3 linked regions of the Macaca fascicularis genome follow. The main gene of each other region encodes a partner of the protein of the gene in region 3 in a complex. Links are inferred from orthologs where the notes say so. Each region holds a gene or a part of one and is shown on either strand. Other genes may lie near its edges.

Region 1 (6,137 bases), on a different chromosome or scaffold from region 3:
TAGCCTCCTGAGTATCTGGGACTACAGGTACATGCCACCACACCCAGCTAATTTTTGCATTTTTTTGTAAAAACAGGTTTTCACCACGTTGCTCAGGCTTGTCTTCAGCTCCTGAGCTCAAGCAATGTACTCGCCTTGGCCTTCCAAAGTGCTGGAACTACAGGCACGAGCCACCACTCCAGGCTGTAATCATATATTTATTTGTATGTTTATATCTGTTCTTTGAGGCCAGGCCTGGTGCCTCACCCCTGTAATCCCAACAATTTGAAAGGCTGAGGGGAGAGGATCACTTGAACCCGAGAGTTTAACCAGCCTGGGCAACGTGGTGAGACCTTGTTCCTAAAAAAATTAAAAAAATAAAAATTAGCTGGGCTTGGTAGTGCACACCTGTGGTCCTAGCTACTCAGGAGGCTGAGGTGGGAGGATCACTTGAGCCCAAGAAGTGGAGGCTGCAGTGAGCTGTAACTGTGCCACTTCACTCCAGCTTCGGCGACAGAGCAAGACCCTGTCTCGAGAAAAAAAAGAGAAAAAAATCTGTTCTTTGAGGGCAGTTGCTGAGGCTGTCATGGTCACCTTTCTGTTCCCAGGGGCCAGCACAGGATCAGGCACATGGTAGATGTCACATAGCTATTTGTTGAAGAAACAAAAACTAGCATTTATGTTTTATTTTATTATTATTATTTGAAATGGAGTTTTGCTTTTGTTGCCCAGGCTGGAGTGCAATGGCGCCATCTCGGCTCACTGCAACCTTTCCCTCCCAGGTTCAAGCAATTCTCCTGCTTCAGCCTCCCGAGTAGCTGGGATTGCAGGCACATGCCAACATGCCTGGCTAATTTTGTATTTTTAGTAGAGACGGGGTTTCTCCATGTTGGTCAGGCTGGTCTCGAACTCCTGACCTCAGGTGATCCACCCACCTCGGCCTCCTAAAATGTTGGGATTACAGGTGTAAGCCATCATGCCCAGCCAAAACTAGCATTTATTGAATGCTTAGTATGTGCTAAACCCAGTTTTAACTGCTTTATGTGATCTGAAATTAACTCACCTAATTAACAGACTATCTACAATAGTAATATGTAATTAACAATAGTAATAGTCTCTAATTAACAATTAGATTATTGTAATGCTACAATGTAGCATTGTAGATAGTCTGATTGTTAACTACTTTGCAGATACAAAAGTGTAACCCCAGGCCAGGTGTGGTGGCTCACACCTGTAATCCCAGCACTTTGGGAGGCCAAGGCGGGCGAATCACGAGGTCAAGAGATCAAGACTATCCTGGTCAACATGGTGAAACCCCATCTCTACTAAAAAAAATACAAAAACTGGCCAGGTGTGGTGGTGTGCCTGTAATCCCAGCTAATCTGTAGGCTGAGGCAGGAGAATTGCTTGAACCTGGGAGGTGGAGGTTTGAGTGAGCTGAGATCATGCCATTGCACTCCAGCCTGGGCAACAAAAGTGAAGCCAGGATTATGAACCCAGGAATTTTGGTTCCAGAGCCCACAACTTAGCCACTAAACCACACTGCCTTTTCGTTATTCCCTTATTAAAACACCTATCACAGTATTTGGCAAAAAGTAGGTGCTCAATAAATAGGAAGAGCTGTTTATAAGTTATTTATACCACAGAAGTCTGGGATACATCCTGTATTTTATATCATTTTGACCATGTATATTATTTTATTTTGCTTTGTTTTCATTCATTTGTTTTTATTTTATGTTATTTAAAAATTATTTGTATTACTTTTTTTGTTTTACAGCAGGTATTTTATAAATGCATTTTTGGTGCTGCAAAGCCATTTCTAACTCTCGGGCCCAGAAAGGATCACCAGTGTCCCTGTCATTCTCCGTTAGAATCTCTATTCGCTACTGAGACGAATTTTTTTTGTTTGTTTGTTTGAGACCAGGTGGAGGGGCGGGGGTTCTCGCTATCTTGCTCAAGCTGATCTCGAACTCCTGGGTTCGATCAATACTCAATCTTGGCAGGCGCAGGAGGACCAAATTCTAGCGAATGAGATCGATTCTCTCGGATCTCTCCCTTCCATGTTTTCTTTTTGATTGGCCCTCGACGATCCTCAGTGACGCCTCCCGCACCGCCTCTCCCGAGAGTCAGCAGCCCTCGCTTATCCGTGCGCACGCGCAGTATCCCGATTGGCTCTGCCCTAGCGGATTGACGGGCAGATCAGCCAATGGTCTTGTAATATAGGTGGAGCGAGCTCTTGAGGATGTCCACGACCCGGCCTCTCGCTAAATATTCATGAGGGAGGCGGGTGGACGCCACTGCACACTCCGGCAGGCGCCATGAAGTGAGAAGGGGGCCGGGGGGTCGCGGCTCGCGAGCGGGCGCGGGGGTGTCTTGAAGATGGGGTCACCGGTGGGCGTGCCTGGGTCCCCAGTGGGGCCAGGGGAGGGTGAAGGGGTGGGGAGGGGGCAGCCGCAGGGAACAGCGGTGATAGCGAGGAGGCACTGAGGCTCCTGAGGACCTGAGGGTTACCAGGGGCGCCGGGCAGGTCACCCTTCTGGGCCCGACGACCGGGCAGTGTGGAGGCGGGAGAGGGGCTGAGGGGACGGGGATTGACCCAGCAGCCGCTGCCGCCAGGCTCAACGTGGACGGGCTCCTGGTCTACTTCCCTTACGACTACATCTACCCCGAGCAGTTCTCCTACATGCGGGAGCTCAAACGCACGCTGGACGCCAAGGTGGGTGGCCGGTGGGCCCGACCCGCCCACTCGACCGGTGGGGCTGCCACGCCTGAGCCTAAGACAGATTGCAGGACGTCTGGATTTTAGAAGTAGGAGGTCCTTGGAAATCCAGGACCCCATAATCTTCCGTTATCTAAAATAATAATGGTGAATAGGCTGGGCGCGGTGGCTCGCGCCTGTAATCCCAGCGCTTTGGGAGGCCGAGGAGGGCGGATCACTTGAGGTCAGGAGATCGAGACCAGCCTGGCCAACGTGGTGAAACCCCGTCTCTTCTAAAAATACAAAAATTAGCCAGGTGTGGTGGCGGGCGCCTGTAATCCCAGCTACTCAGAAGGCTGAGGCAGGAGAATCGCTTGAACCCGAGAAGCAGAGGTTGCAGCTAGCCGACGTGGCGCCATTGCACTCCAGCCTGGGCGACAGAGTGCCACATTGCACTCCAGCCTGGGCGACAGAGTGAGACTCGGTCTCAAAAATAAATAATAATGGTCAATAGGCTGGGCGCGGTGGTTCGTGCCTGTAATCCCAGCACTTTGGTGGGAGGTGGAGGCGGGAAGATCACTTGGGGCCAGGTATTGGAGACCAACTTGGGCAACACAGCAAGATCCTATCTCTACAAAAAATTAGAAAATTAGCTGGGTGTGGTGGTGCTTGCCTGTAGTCCCCACTGCTTGGGAGGTTGAGGCAGGAGGATCGCTTGAGGCCAGGAGTTGGAGGCTGCAGTGAGCCATGATTGTGCTGTTGCATTCCAGTCTGGGCAACAGAGTGAGACCTGTCTCTGAAAAAAGAAGGGAGAAAAGTTCACTATATATCAGCTACTGTGCTAAATATTTAATGTGCAATTTCTCACTAATCTTCACAGTCATGTTATGAGGAAGGTTTTATTATTAGGCCCATTTTATTTTATTTATTTATTTTTGAGACAAAATCACAGGTGCACGCCACCACTTCCGGCTAATTTTTTGTATTTTTAGTAGAGAAGGGGTTTCACCATATTGGCCGGGCTGGTCTCGAACTCCTGACCTCAGGTGATCCACCTGCCTCGACCTCTCAAAGTGCTGGGATTACAGGCGTGAGCCACCATGCCCGGCCTTAGGCCCATTTTAGAGGTAGGGATACTGAGGTCTGGGGAGGTGAAGGTACTCACCTAAGACCACTCAACAAGGAGGAGGCAGAAGTGGATTTGAACCCCACTGCCCAATTTTAACTGCTGCTGTGTTATCCTGCTGTTCCAAGTTGGTGGCATTGGAGGTCGGGGAGAGTCCCCAGAGTTTGTGTGCCCGAGGTTCTGAGACCCTGTGTGTTGTCCCTCTGGTTCCCAACATGCAGGGTCATGGAGTCCTGGAGATGCCCTCAGGCACTGGGAAGACAGTGTCCCTGTTGGCCCTGATCATGGCATACCAGCGGGTGAGTGATGCATTGAACCCGTAAAGGCAGACAAAAGAAGGGATAGGACAGGGACTGAGTCCACTTGTTATCGGCAGGCATATCCGCTGGAGGTGACCAAACTCATCTACTGCTCAAGAACTGTGCCGGAGATTGAGAAGGTGAGCCCGGACTCATCCTGGTGCTCCAGCTCCACTGTTCCCTAGGCCCTATTGGTCCCCCTGGTGGTGGCCATCACCAGCTTTCGGGGGTGTCTGGGAAGCTCGGGAAGAGGCTGGGGCCTGGCAGGGCAGGGGTTTGTGCCTCCAATGAACACAAGCTCCCCCTGCCCCCCCCAACTTTGGAGTAGGTGATCGAAGAGCTTCGAAAGTTGCTCAACTTCTATGAGAAGCAGGAGGGCGAGAAGCTGCCATTTCTGGGGCTGGCTCTGAGCTCCCGCAAAAACTTGTGTATTCACCCTGAGGTGAGCACCCGTCCCTTCTCCTTGCCCTTAGCCCAGAGGTAGAGGAAACTCTTTCGTCCAACTGCAAGTCCTGGATCCCCAGGCTGGACCTCTTGCAAAGGCATGCAGTGGCTGCACACAGAATTCCCATCTCACTGGTCAAATTCTCATTCATCGTGGCCCAGGCAAGCACACCTCCTCAGGGAGTCTTCCAATTCTACCCAGGCCTGGGAGAGGTTAAAAAGGCAGCTCTTAGAGTCTCTGGAAGACCTGGTTTCCTGGCTCTGAAACTTACCAGCCGGGTATTTATGGAGAGGCGTTTTCTGCTGCCTGGGCCTCAGTCTTCCTTTCTGTAAAATGGGGATAATTATGTGCCTGCCTCATAAGGTCGCTGATGATAAAATTGGATGAAATGATGCAGCCGATGCCCTTAGCATGTACAGAGAACTAAAAGAATGTTAGAAATTCACGGCTGGGCACGGTGGCTCACGCCTGTAATCCCAGCACTTTGGGAGGCCGAGGCGGGTGGATCACAAGGTCAGGAGATCGAGACCATCCTGGCTAACATGGTGAAACCCCATCTCTACTAAAATATACAAAAAATTAGCTGGGCATGGTGGTGGGCGCCTGTAGTCCCAGCTACTCGGGAGCTGAGGCAGGAGAATGGCGTGAATTCGGGAGGTGAAGCTTGCAGTGAGCTAAGATCACACCACTGCACTCCAGCCTGGGCGACGGAGCGAGACTCTGTCTCAAAAAAAAAAAAAAAAAAAAAAATTTCTCATGGTAGGCCGGGTGCGGTGGTTCACATCTATAGTCCCAGCACTTTGGGAGTCTGAGGTGGGCAGATCATTTGAGGTCAGGAGTTCGAGACCATCCTGGCCAACACGGCAAAACCCCATTTCTTTTTTTTTTTTTTTTTTTTTTTTTGAGACAGAGTCTCGCTCTGTCGCCCAGGCTGGAGTGCAGTGGCCGGATCTCAGCTCACTGCAAGCTCCGCCTCCCGGGTTCACGCCATTCTCCTGCCTCAGCCTCCCGAGTAGCTGGGACTATAGGCGCCCGCCACCACGCCCGGCTAGTTTTTTTTTTGTATTTTTTAGTAGAGACAGGGTTTCACCGTGTTAGCCAGGATGGTCTCGATCTCCTGACCTCGTGATCCGCCCGTCTCGGCCTCCCAAAGTGCTGGGATTACAGGCGTGAGCCACCGCGCCCGGCGCAAAACCCCATTTCTACTAAAAATACAGAAATTAGCCAGGGGTGGTGGCGTACGTGTCGGTAATCCCAGTCGCTTGTACACGGGAGGCAGAGGTTGCAGTGAGCTGAGGTCACACTACTGCACTCCAGCCTGGGGGACAGAGTGAGACTGTCTTAAAAAAAAAAAAAATTGTCATGATATTTATATACATAATATATGACAAATACAATGTTAATTGTTATTAAATTATGCTATAAAACCATTGTACTTGGCTGGGCATGGTGGCTCACGCCTATAATCCCAGCACTTTGGAAGGCTGATGTTTCACCATGTTGGTCAGGCTGGTCTCTAACTCCTGATCTCGTGATCCGCCCACCTTGGCCTCCCAAAGTGCTGGGATTGCAGGCATGAGCCATCGTGCC
Region 2 (5,868 bases), on a different chromosome or scaffold from region 3:
AGCCCCACCCAGTGTGCCTAGACTTACATGTCGAGAGATGAAGCAAGACATGGGTCCAATTTCTGTGAAGAGTCCAACCTAGAAAAAAATGAGTGATCTTATGGTCATGCACGGTGGCTTATGCCTATAATCCCAGCACTTTGGGGGGCCGAGGCGGGTGGATCATGAGGTCACAAGTTCAAGACCAGCCTGACCAACATGGTGAAACCTTGTCTCTGCTAAAAATACAAAAATTAGCTGGGTGTGGTAGCGCACCTGTAATCCCAGCTACTCAAGAGACTGAGGCAGGAGAATCGTTTGAACCCGGGAGGCGGAGGTTGCAGTGAGCCAGATCTCGCCATTGTACTCCAGCCTGGCAACAGAGCAAGACTCCGTCTCAAAAAAAAAAAAAGAGTGATCTTGCTTTTCTTTGTCCCCTCAAGTGTTGTGTTTTTGTTTTTTGCTTTCTAAATTTTGAGACAGGTTCTCACTGTTGCCCAGGTTGGAAAGCAGTGGTGTAATCACAGCTCACTGTACCTTTGAATTCCTGGGCTCAAGCAATCCTCCCACCTCAGCCTTCCAAGTAGCTGAGACCACAGGTGCACACCACCATGCTAGGCTAATTTTTTAAAACTTTTTGTAGAGACAGAGTCTTGCTATGTTGCCCAGGCTGGTCTCAAACTCCTAGGCTCAAGCAATCTTCCCACTTCTGCCTCCCAAAGCACTGGGATTATAGGTGTAAGCCAGCACACCCAGCCCTCTTCTCTTTTTTTTTAAGCTTTCATTTGTATTTATTTATGTATTTATTTTGAGACAGAATCTCGCTCTGTTGTTCACTCTGGAGTGCAGTGGTGCAATTTCAACTCACTGCAACCTCCACCTCCCACGTTCAAGTGATTCTCATGCCTCAGCCTCCCGAGTAGCTGGGACTACATGCACATGCCACGATGCCTGGCTAATTTTTGTATTTTTAGTAGAGATAGGGTTTCATCATATTGGCCAGGCTGGTCTTGAACTCCCAACCTCAGGTGATCTGCCCACCTCAGCCTCCCAAAGTGCTGGGATTACAGATGTGAGCCACCATGCCCAGCCTAACCTTTCATTTTAAAGTATTAAAGAGCTTAGGCCTGTTAGTCCAAGATTTGAACACCTGTTGGCCACATGATCTTGGCCAATACACTTAACTTCTTCTAAGCTTCAGCTTCTGTAAAAAGCACCCACTGGCCGGGGGCAGTGGCTCACGCCTACAATCCCAGCACTTTCGGTGGCTGAGGCAGGCAGATCACCTGAGGTCAGGAGTTTGAGACCAGCCTGACCAACATGGAGAAACCTCATCTCTACTAAAAATACAAAAATTAGCTGAGCGTGGTGGCGCATGCCTATAGTCCCAGCTACCTGGGAGGCTGAGGCAGGAGAATCACTTGAACCCAGAGGCGGAGGTTGTAGTGAGCCAAGATTGTGCCACTGCACTCCAGTCTGGCGACAGAGCTAAACTCCATCTTAAAAAAAAAAAAAAAAGGAAAGCACCCACCTTTTAGTCATTGTGAGTCTCTGCACTTCACCTGGCCCACAGTCACTACTCAATCAACACAGGCTTTTATTGTTATGACTATTAATGTTGACTCTTGCCCTCTGAGTTGGGCAGGGAAGATTACCATACAATTTGAAAGTGCAGCACAAGAAGTAAAGTGATGGCTAGGCGTGGTAGCTCACACCTGTAATCCTAGCGCTTTGGGAGGCCGAGGAAGGCAGATTGAGCTCAGGAGTTCGAGATCAGCCTGGGCAACATGGCAAAACCCTATCTCTACTAAAAAAATACAAAAACTTAGCCGGCAATGGTGGCACCTGCCTTTAGTCCCAACTACTTGGGAGGCCGAGGCAAGAGACTCACTGGAACCCAGAAGGCAGAGGTTTCAGTGAGCCAAGATGGCACCACTGCACTCCAGCCTGGGCGACAGAGCAACACTCCGTCTCAAAAAAAAAAAAAGAAGTAAAGTGACTTAGCTGAAGGCACAGTTATGAAGTGGAGCCAGGACCCAACCCAGATCTACTGAGAGACTACCCCAATGCCTCCCCTACGTATGGTCTCACCTTGTTGACCTGAGTTACAACAGCATCCACGACCTCCCCTTTAAAGGGCCGGAAAACAATGGCCTTGTACTTAACTGGATAAAGGACAAAGCCTCGGCCTGGCTGGATCACACCAGCACCAATATTGTCAATGGTGGTGACAGCAATTACAAAGCCATACCTGCAAGGAGGATGAGAAACAGAAAGACATTGTGTGTCCAAGAGCCTCTAGAGACATCTGCAATAAAAGTCACTGAGCTCTTGGGAGTAGTGTCGGGGAGAGCAAAAGGACAAGTAGATAGCACCTCTGCTCCCAGAGAGCTTAATGACCAAGAGAAGACAGAACACAGATCAGTATGGGCTGGGCGCGGTGGCTCAAGCCTGTAATCCCAGCACTTTGGGAGGCCGAGACGGGCGGATCACGACGTCAGGAGATCGAGACCATCCTGGCTAACCCGGTGAAACCCCGTCTCTACTAAAAAATACAAAAAACTAGCCAGGCGAGGTGGCAGGCGCCTGTAGTCCCAGCTACTCGGGAAGCTGAGGCAGGAGAATGGCCTGAACCCGGGAGGCGGAGCTTGCGGTGAGCTGAGATCAGGCCACTGCACTCCAGCCTGGGCCACAGAGCGAGACTCCGTCTCAAAAAAAAAAAAAAAAAAAAAAGAACACAGATCAGTATGTATAAGACCAAATGCTGTTCTGGTAATTTCACAGTAAATGTACAAGAAGGCTGGAGTCCTTGAGGAAACAGATCTCAATCTTCGGGATGCCTGAGAATCATCTTCTTAAAATGCAGATTCTCAGGTCTGCCTCACAGAGTCTTGATTCTGTAGGGAATAAGGAGGCTCAGGAATCTGCATGTTCCTGCAGGTTTTTCTGATGCTGGAGGCCCAAGTACTCCACTGCCCTGGGCTGGGTCCCAGCTCATTAATATCACAGAAGGCCCTCAGTGCAAAGCCCAGAGATGGTCAAGTCCCAGTCTACTTCCTTCCTCCCCCAAACTTTCGATCCACTTTTTCTGGTCATCCATTCAGAAGATATATAGAGGCCCACGGTGTGTGGTCCCTGGACACAGGGGATAAGAGAAAACCAGCAGAATGACAGAGTGAGAGGAGACACAGGAACAATGACTACACTGTGAGCTCCACAAGAGCTGGCCTCATTCTATCTTGTTCCCATTCTACCTTGTTCTGAGCCCAACACGGGTCCTGGCACACACCAAGTGTTTTTAAAATGTCTGAGGAGTAAATGAATGAATGACCAATCTCAGCTGAGGGAAGGAAGTCTTATTGTCCAGCATTGCAGAGGGCGCCCTGGGAACCCAAAGCAGGAAGCAACTGGCTGCCTGAGAGGGTGAGCGGGGTCCCTAGAGTGGGTGGCAGGACTAAATAGGAGTTGCGGAGGGTTTGCAGGTATAGCGACCCGTGTGCGCATCGAACGATCTGGCGGCACGGTGAGCTCGGCACTCACTTCCCTGTGCAGGTCCCCTCCACTTCGGTGAAGAGCTTCTGCTTCACCGTGTTGAGCAAGTTGGGGCCGAAGTAGCGCGGGTGCAGCAGGATTTCGTGCTCTAGGGAGATCTGCGGAGAAAAGAGGGATGGCGACCAGGCCACGCGCTGGGAGCTTATCAGACGACAAGGGGAGCCTCGCGCCGGCGCCTGGCCTTGCTCCTCCTTTCCACCCAGCCCTTGCCGCCACCCTGGGCCCTGCTCACATGGTAGAACATCTTCCCAGAGCATGAAGGCAGGAACAGTCCACACCTCCGACCGCCCCTGGGAATCTACCGGAAACACACTTAGCCGCCGCAACCCCAGTTCCGCGCCTGCTGCGTCGTTGAGAGCGGAACTCCACCTCCTCAGCGAGGGCGGAACTCCACCTGCTCCACGGGTCTGATTGGGCCTTGTAGCCGTGGGCGTGAACCACTAAGCCCCGCCCCTCACCACCGCCCCGCCCCCCCACCGGCCATCAAACCACAACTCTCTTTTTTTTGTTTTGAGACGGATCTGGCTCCGTCTCCCAGGCTGGAGTGCAGTGGCGCGATCTCGGCTCACTGCAAGCTCCGCCTCCCGGGTTCGGGCCATTCTCCTGCCTCAGCCTCCCCAGTAGTTGGGACTACAGGCGCCCACCACCGCGCCCGGCTAATTTTTTGTATTTTTAGTAGTGACGGGGTTTCACCGGGTTAGCCAGGCTGGTCTTGATATCCTGACCTTGTGATCCGCCCTCCTCAGCCTCCCAAAGTGCTGGAATTACAGGCGTGAGTCACAGCGCCCGGCCAATTTTGTGTTTTTAGTAGAGATGGGGTTTCTCCATGTTGGTCAGGCTAGTCTCAAACTCCCAACCTTAGGTGATCCACCCACCTCGGCCTCCAAAAGTGCTGGAATTACAGGCGTGAGCCACTGTGCCCGGCCAGCAACTCTCTGAATTGCTTGAACCTGGGAGGCCACTGCACTCCAGCCTGGGCAACAAAAGCGAAACTCCATCACAAAAAATAATAATAAATAATAGCTACCACTTACTGCTTTCTTCCTAAATGCCAGACACTGTGTTAAGCCCTTTATATAATTATCTCCCTTAATTCTCATAATAATCTACAGAAATTGGTGTAGAAATAACAAAAAATTTACATGAGCCTTAGTCGAAAGGCCAGGAAACTACAGAAAATAATGAAATTTAGGCTGAGCGCAGTGGTTTACGCCTGTAATCCCAGCACTTTGGAAGGCGGAGGCGGGCAGATCATGGGGTCAGGAGATTGAGACCATCCTTGCTAACACGGCGAAACCTCGACTCTACTAAAAATACAAAAAATTAGCCGGGCGTGGTGGCATGTGCCTGTAGTCCCAGCTACTCAGGAGGCTGAGGCAGGAAAATCGCTTGAACCCGGGGGGCGGAGGCTGCGGTGAGCTGAGATCGCGCCACTGCACTCCAGCCTGGCAACAGAGCAACACTAAGAAAGAACGAAAGAAAGAGAGAGAGAGAAAGAAAAAATTTAAAAGCTATTGCAATCCCAAAAAATATTTTAAGCCTCGAGAGAGATATGACTGTGAGTCACATATAGTTTACAACTTCTGTTCTCAGATTATAGATTAATTCACTTTCTTTTTTTTGAGAGGGAGTCTCGCTGTGTCACCCAGGCTGGAGTGCAGGAAATCCATGACTATTTCATCCTCTGTTAAAAAAATGTTACATACCCCCGGCACCATGGCTCACGACTGTAATCCCGGCTACTTGGGAGACTGGGGCAGGAGAATTGCTTGAACCCGGGAGGCAGAGGTTGCAGTGAGCCGAGATCGTGCCACTGCACTCCAGTCTGGGAGACAGAGCAAGATTCCCTCTCAAAAAAAAAAAAAGTTACATGTGAATCACAAGGTCAGAAGTTCAAGACCAGCCTGGCCAACATAGTGAAACCCCATCTCTACTAAAAATACAAAAAATTGGGGCCGGGCGCGGTGGCTCAAGCCTGTAATCCCAGCACTTTGGGAGGCCGAAACGGGTGGATCACAAGGTCAGGAGATCGAGACCATCCTGGCTAAGACGTTGAAACCCCGTCTCTACTAAAAAATACAAAAAAATAGCCAGGCAAGGTGGCGGGCGCCTGTAGTCCCAGCTACTCGGGAGGCTGAGGCAGGAGAACCGCGTGAACCCGGGAGGCGGAGCTTGCAGTGATCTGAGATCTGGCCACTGCACTCCAGCCTGGGCCACAGAGAGAGACTTCGTCTCAAAAAAAAAGAAAAAAAAAATACAAAAAATTAGCCGGGCGTGGTGGCAGGTGCCTGTAATCCCAGCTACTTGGGAGACTGAGGCAGAAGAATCCCTTGAACC
Region 3 (5,837 bases):
TGGATATTTTGCTTTTTTGGTAAACAATCTACTACTATATTTGTTTTTCCCTAAACACACTATTTATCCCCAGTCTTGCTGGCAAGGTTTTTTTTTTTTTTCCTTTTCAGATAGGGTTTCACTCTGTCGCCCAGCCTAGAGTACAAGGGGTGTGATCTCAACTCACTGCAGCCTCAACCTCCTGGGCTCAAGTGATCCTCCCACCTCAGTCTCCCAAGTAGCTGGGACTACAAGCGTATGCCACCATGCCCAGCTAACTTTTTGTAGTTTTTGTACATAAAAGGTTTTGCTATATTGCCCAGGCTGGTCTCAAATTCCTGGGCTTAAGCAATTCGCCCACCTGGTCCTCCCAAAGTGCTGGGATTCCAGGCATGAGCCACTGCACCCGGCCTTCCATAAGCTCTTCTTGAAAGCTTGTTTGGAGGTTCCAGCAGGGGAGTACAGCCACACATATACCAGTCCTCCTCTATCGGGATGGTCATCCTCTTTGATCAAGGGTGCAGCTTCAGGAGGGACATACATGGAGTGGAGTGGGAGGAAGGGGACACCCACCTAGCCAGCCAGATTAGCCAAATCAACCCTGGTGATCAATGGGGTGACAGATGTCCCAGCCAGATCACACTCACATCCAATTTATTTATTTATTTATTTATTTTTTGAGACAGGGTGTCACTCTAGTTGCCCAGGCAGGAGCGCAGTGGCACAATCTCGACTCACTGCAACCTCCAAACAGGCTCTTCTTAAACATCACCTTCTCTATGATGTCTTTCCAGTTCTGGTGAAGCATTAATTTTTTTCCTGCTCAAAACTCTAAGAGATCTTGTATGTACAGTCCTTACTGCATTTACACAGTTCTGTAACTGGTGATGGAATTAAATATGTACAAGATGACCTTGATATATCCTAGGAAGAAACATTTTTCAGCAACAAAGATCAGAACTCAAGGTATTATTTTTAACAGAAAATATTAATGTAAGGAGAAAAAACTTGAAATCAATACGTAGTTCAAATAAAATTCTGATGAGATGAGAATGAAGACACACTTTCTAAGCAACAAGTTACTACTTCTTTTTTTTTTTTTTTCTGAGATGGAGTTTTTGTTCTGTTGCCCAGGCTGGAGTGCAACGGAGCAATCTCAGCTCACTGCAACCTCCGCCTCCCAGTTTCAAGCAATTCTTCTGCCTTAGTCTCCTGAGTAGCTGGGAATACAGGCGCATGCCACCACAACCGGCTAATTTTGGTATTTTTAGTAGAGATGGGATTTCACCATACTGGCCAGGCTAGTCTCAAACTATTGACCTCATGATCCACCTGTCTCGGCCTCTCAAAGTGTTGGGATTACAGGTGTGAGCCACCGTGCCCGGCCCAATCCTGTGATGATTTTCTAAATGTGACTCTGGTTACTTACCCTCCCCTCTAATTCGTACTGCACACTGCCAAACTTTTTTTTTTCTGAATAAATATTTGGCATCTCTCCCTCACTCAAATCCTCCAAAAAGTTTGTTACTTCCTTGTAAACTAAAGTTAGAACATCTCCGTTTCATGATATGACAATCTGAGTATATGGTCCCAACCTTTATCTACACAGATCTTCTGCTCTAGGTTCTCTCTGTTTTCCACGACACACCATGCTGATTATGTATTCTGAGTCTTGCATTTCTGTTCCATTCCCCATGGTATACGCTATGTCCACCCACCCAAATCCTGTAAGGCGTAAACACTGAGCATTTACCATGCTCCTAGAACAATGGCACCATCTCAAGTCACACCATTTTTTCAAGCTTTTTCCTTCAGTCTGCAAGGGCCATCTCCTCCTTAGTGACTCTCCTCCAGTTAACACGCTGCTGGAGAGAGAAATGCCTATTTAATTCATCCTTTTAAGTCACACTGAGCTTGGAAATAAGTCAAATCAGTGCCACAGATTAAGGCGAGGGTTAAAGAATGAGAGGTCATGCATTTATTCATCACCTTTTTGTTGAGTAATTACCATGTGCCAAACACTATTCTGGGTATGACAGGCAAAGATCCAATCTCATGGAATGTGATTTTGTGTGTTGGAAAGACGGAGGTAACCAACTTTGAACATATTAACACAAAATCACTCTACACTGTGAAAAGTGCTTTGAAGAATGTAACGGCCAGGCGCGGTGGCTCACGCCTGTAATCCCAGCACTTTGGGAGGCCAAGGCGTGCGGATCACGAGGTCAGGAGATCGAGACCATCCTGGCTAACACGGTGAAACCCTGTTTCTACTAAAAATACAAAAAATTAGCCGGGCGTGGGGGCGAGTGCCTGTAGTCCCAGTTATTCGGGAGGCTGAGAGAGGAGAATGGCGTGAACCTGGGAGGCGGAGCTTGCAGTGAGCCAAGATCGCACTACTGCACTCCAGATTGGGCGACAGAGCAAGACTCTGATTCAAAAAAAAAAAAAAGAAAAAAAGAAAAGAAAGAATGTAATACGGATCTGTCGTGTTAGCAAATGATCATAAGGGAGCCATTTTTAAGAAGGCCGACAAGAAAGACCTCTTAGATTTAATTGACGAGAACTCAGCCATATGATAAATCAGTTAAAGCATTAAGAAACCGAAAGTCCTTACATTTTAAGTCTCAACGACTTTCAGGATCACATTTTGAATTTGCTTAAGTATTATGAAACTCCCCTAGGAGAAAACACTCCCCAATATGAAACAGTAAAGCACAAATAGTGCCCGCTGTGAGCCAACCAAAATTGCTGTCTTTACATAAAACATTTATTGACGGCCAGTTTCATCAGACCCAAATGTGCTCTGAAAGAATACTCCAGTCCAATGACCTCTCCTGACCTCTCCTTCTGTTTGTTCAGGGCTCTCTCGCCTCTTTTGAGAGCTTCATTAAGGACCATTTACCTAAGAGAATACTTTAAGAGTACGCAGGGACCAGTTCTAGTTTCTCGCCGAAAAAACTGTACAGAAAGCAGACATTCAACTACCTCACACAGGCTCATGGCTAAAACCAGTTTCACCAAGGGAAAGATACAAGTAATTCTTCGGTCTGGGATAAAATGCACCGCCCAAGTCTAGGAACACCAAGACAGGGCTCCAGGAAAGCCGTGAGAAAGAGATCTAGTCCAGGCTGATTCAGACCAGTAACCGGCTGAAAGACACTTTGCGTCCCTAAACTAATCTCCTCATCTGCAAACAGATACAACAATGACTCATGCCTCTCAAAATATGTGAAGCTCTAACGAGATAGCCGTAAAAGAACTTTAAGAGGTGCACGGAGCGGGATGGGCTCAAGTTACTTAAATTATACTTGTGTTAGGAGGAGCGCAAGTGGGAGACTCGTGAACATTACCTTGACTAGCCACACTCCTGTGTTCTGTTTGGCGCCGGTCAGGTCGAGTTCCCCGCGCTCGGCCATGGGTCTGTTGCCGGTGGACGCGTGTGGCCTACAGCAGCGACACCAGGAGCCGGAGGGCTGAGAAGTGGGCGTCCGGAACAAAGGGCAAGCCGCGCTGAGAGGTGAAGAGGCGGCGTTCCTTACCTGCCAGGACACTGGAAACCGGGGGGAAAGAGGAACACGCCGCCGGTAGCCAGACTGCGCCTGCGCACTGTACGTCCGTACGGCGCGCTGTTGCAGACAAACTTTCTGTTTCGGAAATTCCTTGGGTGGGCGTGGCTGTCAGCGTAGTGTGTATCTGAGGGATTAAAACATAGGGTAAGATGAGCCAAAACGTTAGCAACGTATTTAAAGACATGGCCAGCATAACTGAAGAAAAAGATTATCAGAACGGAAAAACGGGGTTCAAAGAGACAAAAGTTGTCAGAACGTGTCCAACCCTAGCCAAAGAGAGAGAAAGAATATTTGAAGGACAGGCTTAGGTTAGTAAATTGGCATCCCCCCTGGCCAACGTCATTAGCACAAGTGGGCACTGGGATCAGACTTGGTAGCCCTGGGTATATTGAAAACATGCCGTTTCTAGACCTGAAAAGAAAGCCGTGTTTCAGCTCAGAGGCTGCCCGAGCTCCTCTGATTAAGCAAGCAGAGCACCTCATATTCCAAAACCCGAAGGTCTGTGACGAAACGAACAAGTAAGAGACAAAACTGATCGTTTCCTCCCCTGCTTAAAGTTTTCTCTTTCTCTTCTTGCCTCTAGAATAAAATTCAATCCTCCTGCTTCAACTGGGCCCTCTTAATTTCATCCGTTTTCCCCTCCCACCATTACTCCACCATGCACCGAACCACACCAAACCCAGCAGACTTCCCGGAACACGTCAGAATCTTCCTCGGTCATTTCAGAGCCTCTGCACACTGGATTCCCTTCCTTGGAAGCCCTCTTTTACCCCTGCCCTCACTCCCACTCTTTCCTCTGGTTGGCAAACTCCTACTTATGGTTCAAGACCAATGGAAATGTCACTTCTTATGAGATCTTTTATCAACTTCCCCAGAAGAAATTAGTTTTTCTTCACATCACAGTGTGATACTTAGCACTCTGCACTATAATACATATGTTTACATATCTGCCTTTGCTTTCCAGACAACGAACTCCTCCTAGGCAGAAAGAGCTTTATTGAGGTATAATTTACAAATAAAAAATAGTGCTTTATTCATGTTATATCCACAATGTATAGCACAGTGTTTGACACATTGTCAGGTTTCAGCAGGCTTTGGGTGAAAGAACATTCGCTGAAGAGAAACAAACAGTAAGGTATTGTTAAGAAGGGCAAGTAATGTATTGAATCACACATCAGAGCCTTGCACAAAATTGAGGAAATTTTATGTGTGTTCAGCACAGGGCCAGGAAAAGCTGTCAGAACTCTGCGATTAGCTAGCAAAATTAACAGGAAAGATGGGAAGAGACCTGGAGTGTGTCGAAAATGAAAGTTTCAGTGGCTGGACCCTGTAACCCCACCTTTGGGAGGCTGAGGTGGGAGGATTGTGTCTGCCCAGGAGTTCAAGGCTACAGTGAGTCATGATCGTGCCTTGCACTCCAGCCTGGGTGACAGAGCAAGGCCCTGTCTCTGAAAAATAAATACTAAAACCAAAATTTTTTTTGGCCAGCCACAGTGGCTCACGCCTGTAATCCCAACACTTTGGGAGACCGAGATGGGAAGATCACTTGAGGGTAGGAGTTCAAGACCAGCCTGGTTAACATAGCGAGACCCCCATTTCTAAAAAGAAGAAAAAGAAAAAAAAAATTTTAAGCAGAAAATGAAGGTTTCTTCTTGTGCAACAACTTGGAAAAGGGCCTAAAACATATAAAGGGTAAGCAGATGAAGGGAACTGCTCTAAGCTTTACTCAGGTAGAAGGAATAAATTGAAATATGAGACCATGGGAGAAGAGAAGCAGAGTCTAGAGCACCCCAGGAATAAACTTTAAAGATTGGAGCCTTGGCCTTGGTCTCTGGGTCATGGGAGGCCTTAAAATGTGTATGTGGTGTGTGTATGTGTGTGTGCACAGAGATTGGGAGAGAAAAAAATTGTTGATGAAAAGGCTAGAGAAGAAAGGAAAAGTGGAAATTTAAAAATGATTATATAGAAGAAAGAAAAAAACAACTTATTGAGCACCTCTTCCTCATACACTGTTGAACAAAGAGCAAGCTTCCCCTACTGTCCTTTTCAAACAGCTTGAAGAGGGATGTTTACAGAACCGTGAGAGAAAAGGAGGGCATGGCCTCTGTGAACTAAATTCACAGATTTACTGTGGAGGCCCTTAGGGTGATAGATATTACAGCCAGATCCCTCACCTTCCTAAGGACTCATTATATGCCAGATGCTTGGCTAGTTGTTTTTTGTATTATCCCATTTAATCCTTATAACAATTTGCCAGAGTAGATATTATTTTTCCTCAATATAGCC

What was found.
Region 1: GTF2F2 (region 3) and ERCC2 share a complex: the UniProt entries of both Homo sapiens proteins name them as parts of the TBP-based Pol II pre-initiation complex. The link is inferred for Macaca fascicularis from reciprocal best matches to the Homo sapiens genes GTF2F2 and ERCC2.
Region 2: GTF2F2 (region 3) and POLR2G share a complex: the UniProt entries of both Homo sapiens proteins name them as parts of the TBP-based Pol II pre-initiation complex. The link is inferred for Macaca fascicularis from reciprocal best matches to the Homo sapiens genes GTF2F2 and POLR2G.

What each region holds. Positions count from the first base shown.
Region 1 is NC_088393.1:53,419,389-53,425,525, reverse strand, and holds the start of ERCC2 (general transcription and DNA repair factor IIH helicase subunit XPD), read left to right. Parts: upstream 1-2,264; 5' UTR 2,265-2,297; coding exon 2,298-2,302; intron 2,303-2,504; exon of another isoform or gene 2,505-2,595; coding exon 2,596-2,695; intron 2,696-4,024; coding exon 4,025-4,102; intron 4,103-4,179; coding exon 4,180-4,242; intron 4,243-4,430; coding exon 4,431-4,544; intron 4,545-6,137. UniProt on the Homo sapiens protein: ATP-dependent 5'-3' DNA helicase. Component of the general transcription and DNA repair factor IIH (TFIIH) core complex, not absolutely essential for minimal transcription in vitro.
Region 2 is NC_088388.1:11,290,762-11,296,629, forward strand, and holds the start of POLR2G (DNA-directed RNA polymerase II subunit RPB7), read right to left. Parts: upstream 3,874-5,868; 5' UTR 3,789-3,873; coding exon 3,520-3,788; intron 2,231-3,519; coding exon 2,071-2,230; intron 79-2,070; coding exon 28-78; intron 1-27. UniProt on the Homo sapiens protein: Core component of RNA polymerase II (Pol II), a DNA-dependent RNA polymerase which synthesizes mRNA precursors and many functional non-coding RNAs using the four ribonucleoside triphosphates as substrates.
Region 3 is NC_088391.1:24,363,819-24,369,655, reverse strand, and holds the start of GTF2F2 (general transcription factor IIF subunit 2), read right to left. Parts: upstream 3,542-5,837; 5' UTR 3,399-3,541; coding exon 3,333-3,398; intron 1-3,332. UniProt on the Homo sapiens protein: TFIIF is a general transcription initiation factor that binds to RNA polymerase II and helps to recruit it to the initiation complex in collaboration with TFIIB.